3 linked regions of the Caenorhabditis elegans genome follow. The protein of the gene in region 1 purifies or fractionates together with the protein of each later gene. This does not show direct contact. Each region holds a gene or a part of one and is shown in the gene's direction. Other genes may lie near its edges.

Region 1 (3,093 bases):
GAGGTCTTGATTTTATTTTTCTGTGTAACTTTTATTCGTATATTTGAATTTTTAATTATCAAATAAAAAATTTCACGAAAAACTGTGGAAAAATCGATGAAAATTCGTTCAAAAGCTTCATAATATCAGTTTTTAAAAATTTGGTGCTTTCTGGTGATTCTCGAAGAAAACTGGAAAACTACTTATTAATTCTTTTTTTTAATTAAAAAAAGTGAAAATTCCAAAAATCTGCTGAACTTCTCCACTCACTTATACAATTTTTCATCTTCATCTTCAACCATTTTCGTTGTAACCACAGCATCTGCATCATGAACATGTTCCGAATCATCAAGACGTCCTCCACAAACAGCACAGACACCGTCTTCTAGATGCTTTTTAGGAAGTCCTTCAGGAGTGTAATACTGAAAAATTGGAATTATATTGATTATTTTTCGGCAGCAGGTGAAAAATGTATTTTACCCCGATTCTCGACGCCATTCTCGCCGTGCAAATGTGAGCAAAATCCCGGCCGAGCACTCCGTAATACACACCATAGAACATGAAAAGGATGCCTGGAAGCTTGAAAATTAGATTTTTTCAAAATTTTTCCAAAATTTCTCACCGGCATCCATTAGTGTTGGCTGTGAAACTCCGAATAAAACATGAAATCCTAATAAAGCTCCCATCATGATCAAATATCCAACAACTCCGAGTACATAACTCAGTTTATGCAAAAATAGAAACCATTTGTAGACGAATCTTAAATTATTTCGTTTAATTCGTCTTTTTTATTCTTAAAAACCTTGGTGTTCCTCCACTGATATGTTGAGCCGAGGCTTTCAACCAAATAAAAGCTGAAAAAATGCAGAAAACAAGCCACGTGGCCAGGAATCGATACCAGGATCGGTTGAAACAAACATAAACTGGAATTGTGAGCATTCCTATTAATGTACACATCTGTAAATGTTTGAATATTAAATAAATGTTTAAAATTAATAAAATTAAATACCTGATAAGATTTAAAATGCTTCCTCTTCCAGGTGACCAGAAAAATCTGTCCAACGATGACAGAAATCATGAAAATAACCATCATTTCCATGTGCATCGCTTCGTGTCCTTTATGCTTTTCGTGCATTTTTCGGTGCTCCTCTGCCCATTGTTCTTCTTCTGTTAGCTCGTGTGGAGGGGGCTGAAAATAAAAATTTATAATAGAAATCATTTTACTTTTAATTAAACTATTTTAAAATCAATAAATACTTACCATTCCTTCCTGAACTTCATTCTGCAGCCTAATTGCCCCATGTTGGCCCATTCTATGGCCTGAAAAAATAGAAATTATTTTGGAAAACGTTATTGATTTTTCGAGAAGGTAAAGCGGACTCCCGCGTGGAAAGTGACCAATTTTAAAAATTGAACGAAAAAAACACTTTAAATTCAATAATTGATAAAAATAGTTGAGTTGGTTAACTTTGCGACAAGGAAATGTCGGAGAAAGATTTGCGGTGAAAATCGAAATAAAATAGGAGAATGTCATCTGCGCGCGGCATATCTGCAAATCTTGTGTGCCAGGGTTGCAAAGAACGCTCCGCCCACAAACATTCGAATGCAAATTTTGGCGTTTTGCTTCTTTTTTCTCTTTTTTCTGTATAACCAAACAAATATATTTTATATTATCCCTTTTTAGAGCAAATTTATCTTTTTTTTTCAGAAAAATGAGCAACGGTCAACTCGTGTCTCAGGTGACAGTTGGTCACGATAAACCATTAGATCGTGAGAAAGTATGTCCGATGCTTCTTCGCGTCTTCGTTGCTAATAATCGTCATAATCCGATGAGCGAGTACAATAGTAGAAATGGAGGATCTGTTCCACCCAGCGAACTTCAAATGCATACTTGGTACGCGGTAGAAATAGAAAAATTAGTACTATTTGGCCGAAATTATAGAACTTTTGTCTAATATTTTCAATAATACATTCAAACTTGTAAGTTTGGTTAACCTGAAGTATTTTTTTTATTTTCAGGATGGACTGTTCTCTGCGTGAATTGACCAGTCTAATCAAAGAAGTGAATCCGGACGCTAGAAGAAAGGGCACCACATTCGATTTCGCTATTGTGCAGGCAGACCGCGGCTCGCCAAGATACATTCTACGCGATGTGGGAAACACGACGAATGGAGAGCGTGGCATTGATGACAACAAAACTGTATGTGATTTTTGACACCACGGAACCATTAGAATTTTATTTGAATTCGGAAATAATATCTCCAATATTAAATTCGTTTTGATTGAACTTTGTTTTTCAGCTACAACAATGCAAATTCGAAGTCGGTGATTTCGTCGACGTCGCGATTTCCTTGCCAAGTCAAGGACGTCGTTTCAATAACCGGGAGCAGGGAGACCGTTTCGATCATCGTCAACGCCAACGTAGTCCGATTCGCTAGACGCCTAACTGTGTGTTAAAATTCAATGATACTCTTCTGTATTTATTAATGTGTCGATTCTTTTTTTTATAACGTGCAATGTAATATTCTGCGTAAATCATGTTTTCCTTTACAATTGTTCAACATACTTAACAATTTACAACAAAGTTTACTTTCACATTTACTGGTCAAAATTGCAAGCTATTTAATTTTAAAAAAGTTTTGTTTTGTGATTATGCAAAAATCGGAAAAATGATCGCGATCAAACTGCTTTCAGCGAAAACTAAAATTTCTTCTCGAATAATTTATTGCTTAATAAATGATAATGGACGGGGGGTAGAGCAAGTAAGATTATTGAAAATCGAAATTTCCAAAAACGTTCTAATTGGAAGTTTCTTTCGCCTTCGAAAACTCCTAATAAGAAAGTTGGAGGAAATTCGCACAGAAAAAAAGGCAGGTAAAACAGGAGTATCTACTATTCAAACTATGTGTCAATGTACTCTACTCTAGATTAAATTACAAAAGGATTCTTAGTTGAAATTATAAAAACATAAAGGGGAATACGATACAATTATGGGGAAAAATGTAATAAAGAATGTTCAGAAAAACAAAAGCATGGGAATTTAAGTACTTGTATAGAGAGTAGGTATAGGGTAGTGGATAAAAAATGTTGGTAATATGTAAAGGGGGTGAATAC
Region 2 (4,468 bases), on another chromosome or scaffold:
GCTAAATTTTTACACCTGGATAATAAAATTGAATTTCTTGGAACTTGGAAATTTTGAAATTGAACTTCAAGATTCCTACTGTAGTATATTTTTTAAATCGAACATTTCAGTCAATCAACTCGGAACAAAGAGAGAGATCGTTGGATTATCCACTGCTGTAACACCATATAACGCAGAGTTAATATCTAACGAATGCGTTAGAATAACCATCGGAGGAGTGGTGCCAGATGGTGCGGATACTGTAGTTCCGATTGAAAATGTAGCTTTATTGAAAGAAGAAAAATGTATCGAAGTTTTGAGAAAACCTAAAGAAGGCGACAATATAAGGCAAGCTGTTCATATATCAAATTCCATATTATAATAGTAACTATAATAAGCTACACACATAGATCGAAATTTCATTAGCCATAAACATTATTTACTGAAATATTTCAGAGAAGTAGGATCAGAAGCTAAAACTGGTGAAATTTTGCTGAAAGATGGTCATCATCTAGATACTATGTCAATTACTCTTCTTCATGCTCTTGGAATTTCTCAAGTTGAAATCTACAAGAAACCACGAGTATGTGTTCTATCAATTGGAAGTGACCTAAACTCGAATAAAATGTACGGAAGCTTCAACCGCTCTCAACTACTAGAACTCTTCCAATCTCAAGGTTTTACGGCAATTGACGCTGGAAGTTCAACTGAGCATATTACTGAAGTTGAGGAAAAAATACGAACGGCTGCAAGTTTTGCCTGTGTGCTTGTGACTGTTGGAGGAGCACAGGTGATACGGGAAGTAGCTAAAACGTTGAAATTCAAAGTGAGATCTATAACGATACTTAAACCTGATAGTAAAACATAAACTGTATTTATTTTCAGTTTGAGATTCAAGATGTAGACTCAACTCCAGGAAACTTCACCGTTTCGACTGGAAAGATTGATGAAACCCCTGTAGTGCTTTCAATTTTTCCAGAATATCATGTTTCATCTTGGATTGGAGCAAATCTGTTTGTTTCACCAATTTTACGTGCAATGGAAGGGCAAAATTCTGAAACAAGCCATAGGTTCAAAGCTGAACTGACACAACCTATATCGAAAACGTCGGAGACAAGATTTTTGCGAGCTCGAAGCGAAGTTTCTAAGGGAAATCTAATTTCAACACCACTAGGCTGTGAAGATATCTTTGGAGCTAATTCGATTTTAGAAGTAAAATCCAACACTTGTTTTTCGGCCGGAGACGTGGTTGATCTACGCTTTGCATGAAAATTCACCAGTATCAATATTTCCTTTTTTTTTGTTTTTACTCGGTGCTTTTATACCTCCATTCTGATATGATCTGTAACATGTTTCACTTTAAAAACATCTAATTTTCAATGATATTTCATAGAATTCAATTGAAATAAATTCAATGTCTACAATTGTCGTGATTTCTGGTTAAAAGGTACTGGTACACCGCAGCGTGTTTGCGTACTTAATTGATTTCCATTTTTTTCACAACGAAAACGCGGCATTTTGAGCAGATGTGTTTGCAAAAAAGAGTTTCTATTCGTTTTTTTTGTTTGAAAGAACAAAATTACCTTTTTTAATTTCAATAAATAGTAGTTATTCTGTACAAAATCTTCCAAAACATGGCGTTTTCTTCGAAAATTCAAATTTATTTAGAAAAATTTAGAAAACTGGAACTGTGACAGTTAAAAATTGTGTTTCTTAATGAACATTTAATTGGCATGATTAATTCGTTTTTGATATATTTGTATTTATTCTATCAATTTTTCTCTCAAAGGATTATTTTCAGACTGAAAATGGATCAAATGTTAGTTGAAGAGCTTGAATCCGATATTACCGCTGCCAGAGACAAACTGAGGAGTATTGATGACAAAGTGACTACTTTGAATGGGAGGTTTGTATTGATTTCTTCTTTTTTTCAATTCAGAACTTGGAATTTCAGACCACCACGTCAGCGCATTTCATACAACGAGGAACCAGAAGAAGCTCCACTGAGAAACGTTGGCCGTGATGCTTTTGGACTGAAAGATGAAGCTAGTGCATGGAATACACGGAAGGAAATCGAAGCTCCTGGTGGGGTCCGTAAGAGGATCAGGTTTGTAAAAATCGGACTTGTAGAAGCGTGATTTAAATTAATATATGTTCAGCGTCGGTGATAGAACAGATCGCAGAACTGGTGGCCGGCAAAGCTTTGACAATCAAAAACGCCAACGCCCAGATTATTTGGAGAACGAGGCGGACGAGGAAGAATATGGAAAACGCCAGAAAAGAACAATCCAGTCGACTGTTGTCATGCCAGCTCTTGATTCAAAAGGAAGAGAAGAAAAAATTGAAAAATTGAAAGAAACTGAGAATAAAGACAGTAAACAGAGAAATCGTCGTCTATTTTCTAATCTGATAATGGGAACTTTGAGTTCTTTCAAAAAGACTGAAAAGAAAACTACTCAGCAAGAAAAGCAAGAAGAAGTTGAGAAAAAGCTTGAAGAAACCAAGAAGAAGGATTTCGAATCGGTAAGGTTAAAAAAATGAAAGTTTAAAAATTTAGTTTTTTTCAGAGAAAAGAAGAGAAACACGATCTCCTCAACAAACGACGCGAGCAGGAGAAGGAACTGAAAAGTCTTCAGCGAAAGAAAGCATTGATCCAGTACGCCGAACACCATGCCAATCAATTAAAGCTTATGAAGGGCTGGATAAAGACTACGACAAGCCCACATATTTTCTGGCAACCGGTCAAGCATACCGTTCGATCGTTGGAGTTGAAGCAAGCCACGGAGAGACAACTCGATGGTTAGTTGAAACTAAATTTTTATTAATGATTTAAATTATATTAAAATTTTATGTTAAAAAATTACAACATCACGAGTCGAATTTCGCATTTCAAAAGCGATGCCCGAAATAACGAAATTTCATAATGACTCGAAGCATTTTCAAAAATCTTGTATGATGGCCAAAATTTCAAAAACAACCAGGTTTTGCTAAAATCTGAAATTTGGGCAACTTGCCCTTGTCACAGAAGCTGAAATTCAGTTAAAACACTTTTGTGGTCTTCCTTTCTGAATTTTGTAGTCGCTTCCTCGTATTTTGGCTCTACATTTTTCAATGAAAACACTGCTCTTTGGAGAATTTAATCGTTTTCTATTCATTTTTCTGTAAAAATTGTTTTAAATCAGTTTTCAGTACAAAACACTTTTCCATTTTATTAACTGATTTAAGCTTTTTTTAACAGAAAAAAATGACACAATTCGCCAAATGTTAATTATTTTTATTGCAAACTGGAAGGAAAATGAACGAGCAATTATGTCGAAAAAGTTGAAAAAAATTTTTTTTGCACTCTGAGACACATCCGAATAAATCCGTGCGCCTTTAATTAGGCATGCCAAGATCTCGTGATATTATTACGATAATAAAAACATTAACTTTTGACTATTTATAAAATATAAATATTCTTTTTTGTAGATCAAATTGCGGATCGCGAAGAACAACTGAAAAAGGATCTCGAAGATCGAGTGAGACAAATATCTGAAGAACGTGGTGATCACAAGCAAGACGAAGACGATGAATACGAGGAAGAAGACGAGAAGAATGAGAACGAGGATATTGTAGTTGTTCTAAAAACTGAGGATGATGTGAAGGCAGAAGATGATGAGGAAAAGGAAGATGATATTGATGTCCATGTGGAGCTTGATTGATTGGTTGTGAGGTTTCAGGTACCGACTGTGCTGTGTGTCAATGCGAAGCTTTCAAATGGTCATCGTATTTTTTATTTTTAATGAAATTCAGGTATCTCCGTGAAAGTGTAAGTTTTTGTAACACCTTAATCTCCTCGTTCTCCAAAATAATTACTCTCTTCTCTTTTCACAAGTTTTAAATTGGTTATTTTTGCTGTTTTGTTCTTTTTTGACCGTTCTTTTGATCTGTCTATTTTGTTCGCGACAGATAAAAAAATAATAAATATTTATTCTAGCAAAGTCTTTGAAAGGAGAAATCTGAGAAAATTGAGATCAATCTAATACTCGTCATTGTCAGGGGTTTGATGAAATGATGATGAATTGGTCACAACTTTTTTGAGGGAAAAAATGGCTATGAAACAACTAGATTAAGGTATGTGGCGGTGTATGGTTGTTGGATACAAGTGGTGTATTTTCCATATTCTTCCGTTGCGTTGGTCCATTGGAATTTCGAACCGGAGCATGTTTTACCTGAAAGTTTGAAATACACGAATGCCTCCCCTAGAATATTTTACTTACATGCTGAGCAACTTGATCCATTGAGAGCACTCCTCGTCTTTTCTTGGGCATCTTTGAACGAGCTTGTGTATGGGAATAGAACATGGCGAAGTTAGAGACGATGACCTTGAAATTAAAATTCAAAACTGGCAACATTAATTTGAATAATAAATGGAAAACATACTGGAACTGGCAAAGCGATTGTCAATACACCAGCGAGAGCACAAATCGAACCAATCAGGCGGCCCAGA
Region 3 (3,391 bases), 8.5 Mb from region 1:
CTTGAGGTCAGGCAGGCAGGCGTTTCAACGCCTACCTGGAAGCCCTATCTTAAATGGCCGGAAATCAGTATTTTTTGGATTTTTCAAAAAAATTGAAAAAAAAACTCCATTTTTTCTGATTTTTGGACATTTTCCGCTTTTTTAAGAATATTTTTCACAAAAATCAATTTTTTGGAGAAAAAACGCATTATTCACTTGAGGGATTTTTCAAAAAAATTGCAAAAAAATTTTTTTTTTTTTTTTTAGTTTTTTCTCAGAATTTTGGACATTTTCCGCTTTTTTAAAGAATATTTTTCACAAAAATCCAAATTTGTGTTCTTTTTTTGGTGAAAAATGCATTAATTGCCCCAAAAAACTCAGATTTAAATTTTTTTTCTTCAAAATTTTGAAGCACTTTTTTTTTTGATATTCCAAAAAATATCTTAGAATTTTGGTAATTTTTCCGCTTTTTATAGGAATTTTTTTACAAAAATATTCTTTTTTTTCTCTTTTTATTCGATTTTCGCGGCAAAATATTCAGAATTTGTGTATTTCCAGTGAAAATTTGCCACAAAATAGCATTTTTCGCATGATTTTTGCAAAAATTGCCAAAAAAAGCGTTATAAACGTCATTTTTTATCTTCTCTCTTCTCGGTGTCATTATTCCATTATTGGATTGACCTCTAGAGCCTTCCCATCGGGCTCATTGACCTCCAGACCGCGATTTTCCCGCGTTTTTGGCTCCGCCTTTTGATCTACCACTGGAAGTGGGCTCAGACTGTCTTAGTAATTTATTCCAACATTATTTCCTTTCTATTATCGTTTTTTTCCCTTTTCCCTTACCCCTTCCCCACAAAAAGACGATGCAAAGACTGCTAAAATCCATATGCAAATTCCAGTGATCATTAGCATTTTTCGATTGTATCGATCACCCAAATATCCGAATAATGGCGCGAAAAACATGTAGAACACAATGAAAACTGTCTGAAATTATTCGGTTTTTAATTAATATTCCACAATTTTATTCAATTTTTACTTGCAAAAGGCCTTGCCCCTTATCGTCGATATCGAAAAATGTTGCAAGCCGCGACATAACTCCCACGATTGTGTATCGATCCATGTAGTTTAGCAGGTTTACGAGAAGCAGAATGGAACAAGTAACCCATTTCTTCTTTCCAGCAAGTCGGGAGGCTGAAAAAATCAAGTTTTTCGATTTAAATAATTAAATTTTCGATTAAAAACTCACCAACGTCCAAACCACTGCCTTCCTCAATTTCATTTGGCATTTAGAATTTCTGAAATTTATTATTTTTTCTTATTTTCTAATAAAAAACCGAAAACCACAAAAAATAAAAAAATACGTGACTAAAAATAACGCAGGCGCGCTCCACCGAACTCGTTCAAACTTGGCGGGAGAATGCTCATATGACGCGTTGCGGTCGCGTCGCGGTCGTTATTTTTTCGAAAACGAAGGCCGTGGCACACTCATTTCTTGTTTTTTCAGACAATTTTTATTATTTTTTCGAAGAAATGCTTGAGAATATTCATTTTTCTAAATTTTACTCGATTCTGGGTTTCTTTTCAGTCAAGTAAATGCAGTAATTTGAAGGATTTTAGGCCCAGTATTTTTTTTATTATCAATAATCTTCAGTCGCCGATTTTTTGCAAATAATCATAATTATTTCTTCATTTTCAGTGTACTAAACATGCCACGCGGCGGCTCAGAGGACCAAAAAGTCTACGTTGGCAACCTGCCAGGAGACGTCCGAGAGAAGGAAGTCGAGGACATTTTCCACAAGTATGGCCGCATCAAGTACGTCGATATCAAGTCAGGACGTGGACCGGCGTTCGCTTTCGTCGAGTTCGAAGATCACAGGTTCGTTTATTGATTTCAAATACTTTAATTAATCAATTTTATTCCAGAGATGCCGAGGATGCGGTTCGTGCTCGCGATGGCTACGAATTCGATGGCCGTCGCATTCGCGTCGAGTTCACTCGTGGAGTCGGACCACGTGGCCCAGGCGGTCGCCCACTCCAAGACGGAGGTGATCACCGCGGTGGAGACTTCCGAGGAGGACGTGGTGGTGGTCGTGGAGGTGGACCTCAGAGAAGAACCGGATACCGAGTGATCGTTGAAGGTCTTCCACCAACCGGGTCGTGGCAGGATCTTAAGGATCATATGCGTGATGCTGGAGACGTCTGCTATGCGGATGTGGCTCGAGATGGAACTGGAGTCGTCGAGTTTACTCGTTACGAGGATGTCAAGTACGCTGTTCGCAAGCTTGATGACACCAAGTTCAGATCACATGAGGTGAGTTTTTACTATTTTTGAAACTATAAAATAAATCAAAAATTGAATTAAATTTTTCTTTTTCAGGGTGAAACTGCCTACATTCGCGTTCGTGAGGACAACTCTTCTGGAGGCGGAAGCGGTGGTGGTGGCCGTGATCGTAGCCGTTCGCGCTCTCCAAGAGCCGAACGTCGTGCTTCGCCAAAGTACTCACCTCGTCGTTCTCGTTCCCGCTCTCGCAGCCGTTCCCGCTCTCGTTCTCGCTCGGCCAGTCGCAGTCCATCTCGCTCACCATCTCCACAATAAAGAGACAGCGTCTGATTCTTGAAACGGTATCGTTTTGCAATTTGAGTCGTCTGACAGAGAGTTCTGATACAACTATATCTTGCTAATTTCTTTTTTTTTGTGCTGTTTCTAATACAATTCCATGCCTCATGTTCTCCTGTTTACACACACCTTTTTCTTTTTATCGATCTTTTTGGATATATATATCCACAATTTCTTCTATTTTTTATCACCTATCCTTAATTCAAACAACCACATCCAAGTATTCATCAGCCCCACCTATTATTATTCAATAATTTCTTTTGTTGGAGGAACCACGAATAAAATGTTTTGTTTCAGCCTCCACTCCGCTTCATTCAAACTATTGGAGGAAAGGAGGAGGACTCTATAAGGAGGGAAACTAAAGGATCGCTGGACGATCAAAAGCGGGGACACACCATATCGATCGAGGATCGAATCGGTTTTTACACGATTTTCGAATCGACACACACACACACACACACACACTAGGACCCCCGGAAAAAGGATTTTATGGGAAAAGTTTTGGATTTGCCCCCTGGGTATTGTTAGGAACATAATTTAGTTAAATTTTGACCTGACGAGAGTAAAAAGAAGGAAAAATTTTACAGTTTTGGGTTCGAAAACCCCGAAATCTATTAGGAAAATCCCCTCGAATATGAGAAAAAACTAATCCGCCATGTTCAGGTGAGCCGGTGACCCGCTTCCCGGCTCACAAAAATGAATCAGCCAGGTGAGTTTCGACTTGGAATTTCGAATAAAAATTTTGAATTTTTGACTTGTGTTTTTACTTTTTTAAATTATTATTGAAAACAGAAA

The links.
Region 2: the proteins of C16C10.4 (region 1) and pnn-1 fractionate together in Caenorhabditis elegans (co-fractionation; one large-scale study listed by BioGRID). This does not show direct contact.
Region 3: the proteins of C16C10.4 (region 1) and rsp-3 fractionate together in Caenorhabditis elegans (co-fractionation; one large-scale study listed by BioGRID). This does not show direct contact.

What each region holds. Positions count from the first base shown.
Region 1 is NC_003281.10:4,169,649-4,172,741, forward strand, and holds C16C10.4 (putative histone deacetylase complex subunit SAP18), read left to right. Parts: upstream 1-1,687; 5' UTR 1,688-1,691; coding exon 1,692-1,873; intron 1,874-1,998; coding exon 1,999-2,179; intron 2,180-2,279; coding exon 2,280-2,417; 3' UTR 2,418-2,575; downstream 2,576-3,093. Other genes in the region: E3 ubiquitin ligase rnf-121, read right to left, coding at 250-401, 460-551, 602-738, 782-936, 989-1,168, 1,241-1,291. UniProt on the Caenorhabditis elegans protein: Acts in transcription repression. Involved in the tethering of the SIN3 complex to core histone proteins.
Region 2 is NC_003283.11:12,969,330-12,973,797, forward strand, and holds pnn-1 (Pinin/SDK/MemA protein domain-containing protein), read left to right. Parts: upstream 1-1,780; 5' UTR 1,781-1,787; coding exon 1,788-1,885; intron 1,886-1,933; coding exon 1,934-2,086; intron 2,087-2,138; coding exon 2,139-2,502; intron 2,503-2,546; coding exon 2,547-2,778; intron 2,779-3,447; coding exon 3,448-3,680; 3' UTR 3,681-3,951; downstream 3,952-4,468. Other genes in the region: lin-46 (MoeA N-terminal and linker domain-containing protein), read left to right, coding at 111-327, 436-805, 865-1,248; shw-3 (BTB domain-containing protein), read right to left, coding at 4,083-4,190, 4,239-4,343, 4,402-4,468.
Region 3 is NC_003281.10:12,686,201-12,689,591, reverse strand, and holds rsp-3 (putative splicing factor, arginine/serine-rich 3), read left to right. Parts: upstream 1-1,675; 5' UTR 1,676-1,685; coding exon 1,686-1,855; intron 1,856-1,902; coding exon 1,903-2,290; intron 2,291-2,356; coding exon 2,357-2,575; 3' UTR 2,576-2,891; downstream 2,892-3,391. Other genes in the region: spin-4 (Major facilitator superfamily (MFS) profile domain-containing protein), read right to left, coding at 823-963, 1,016-1,170, 1,226-1,265. UniProt on the Caenorhabditis elegans protein: Plays an essential role in embryogenesis.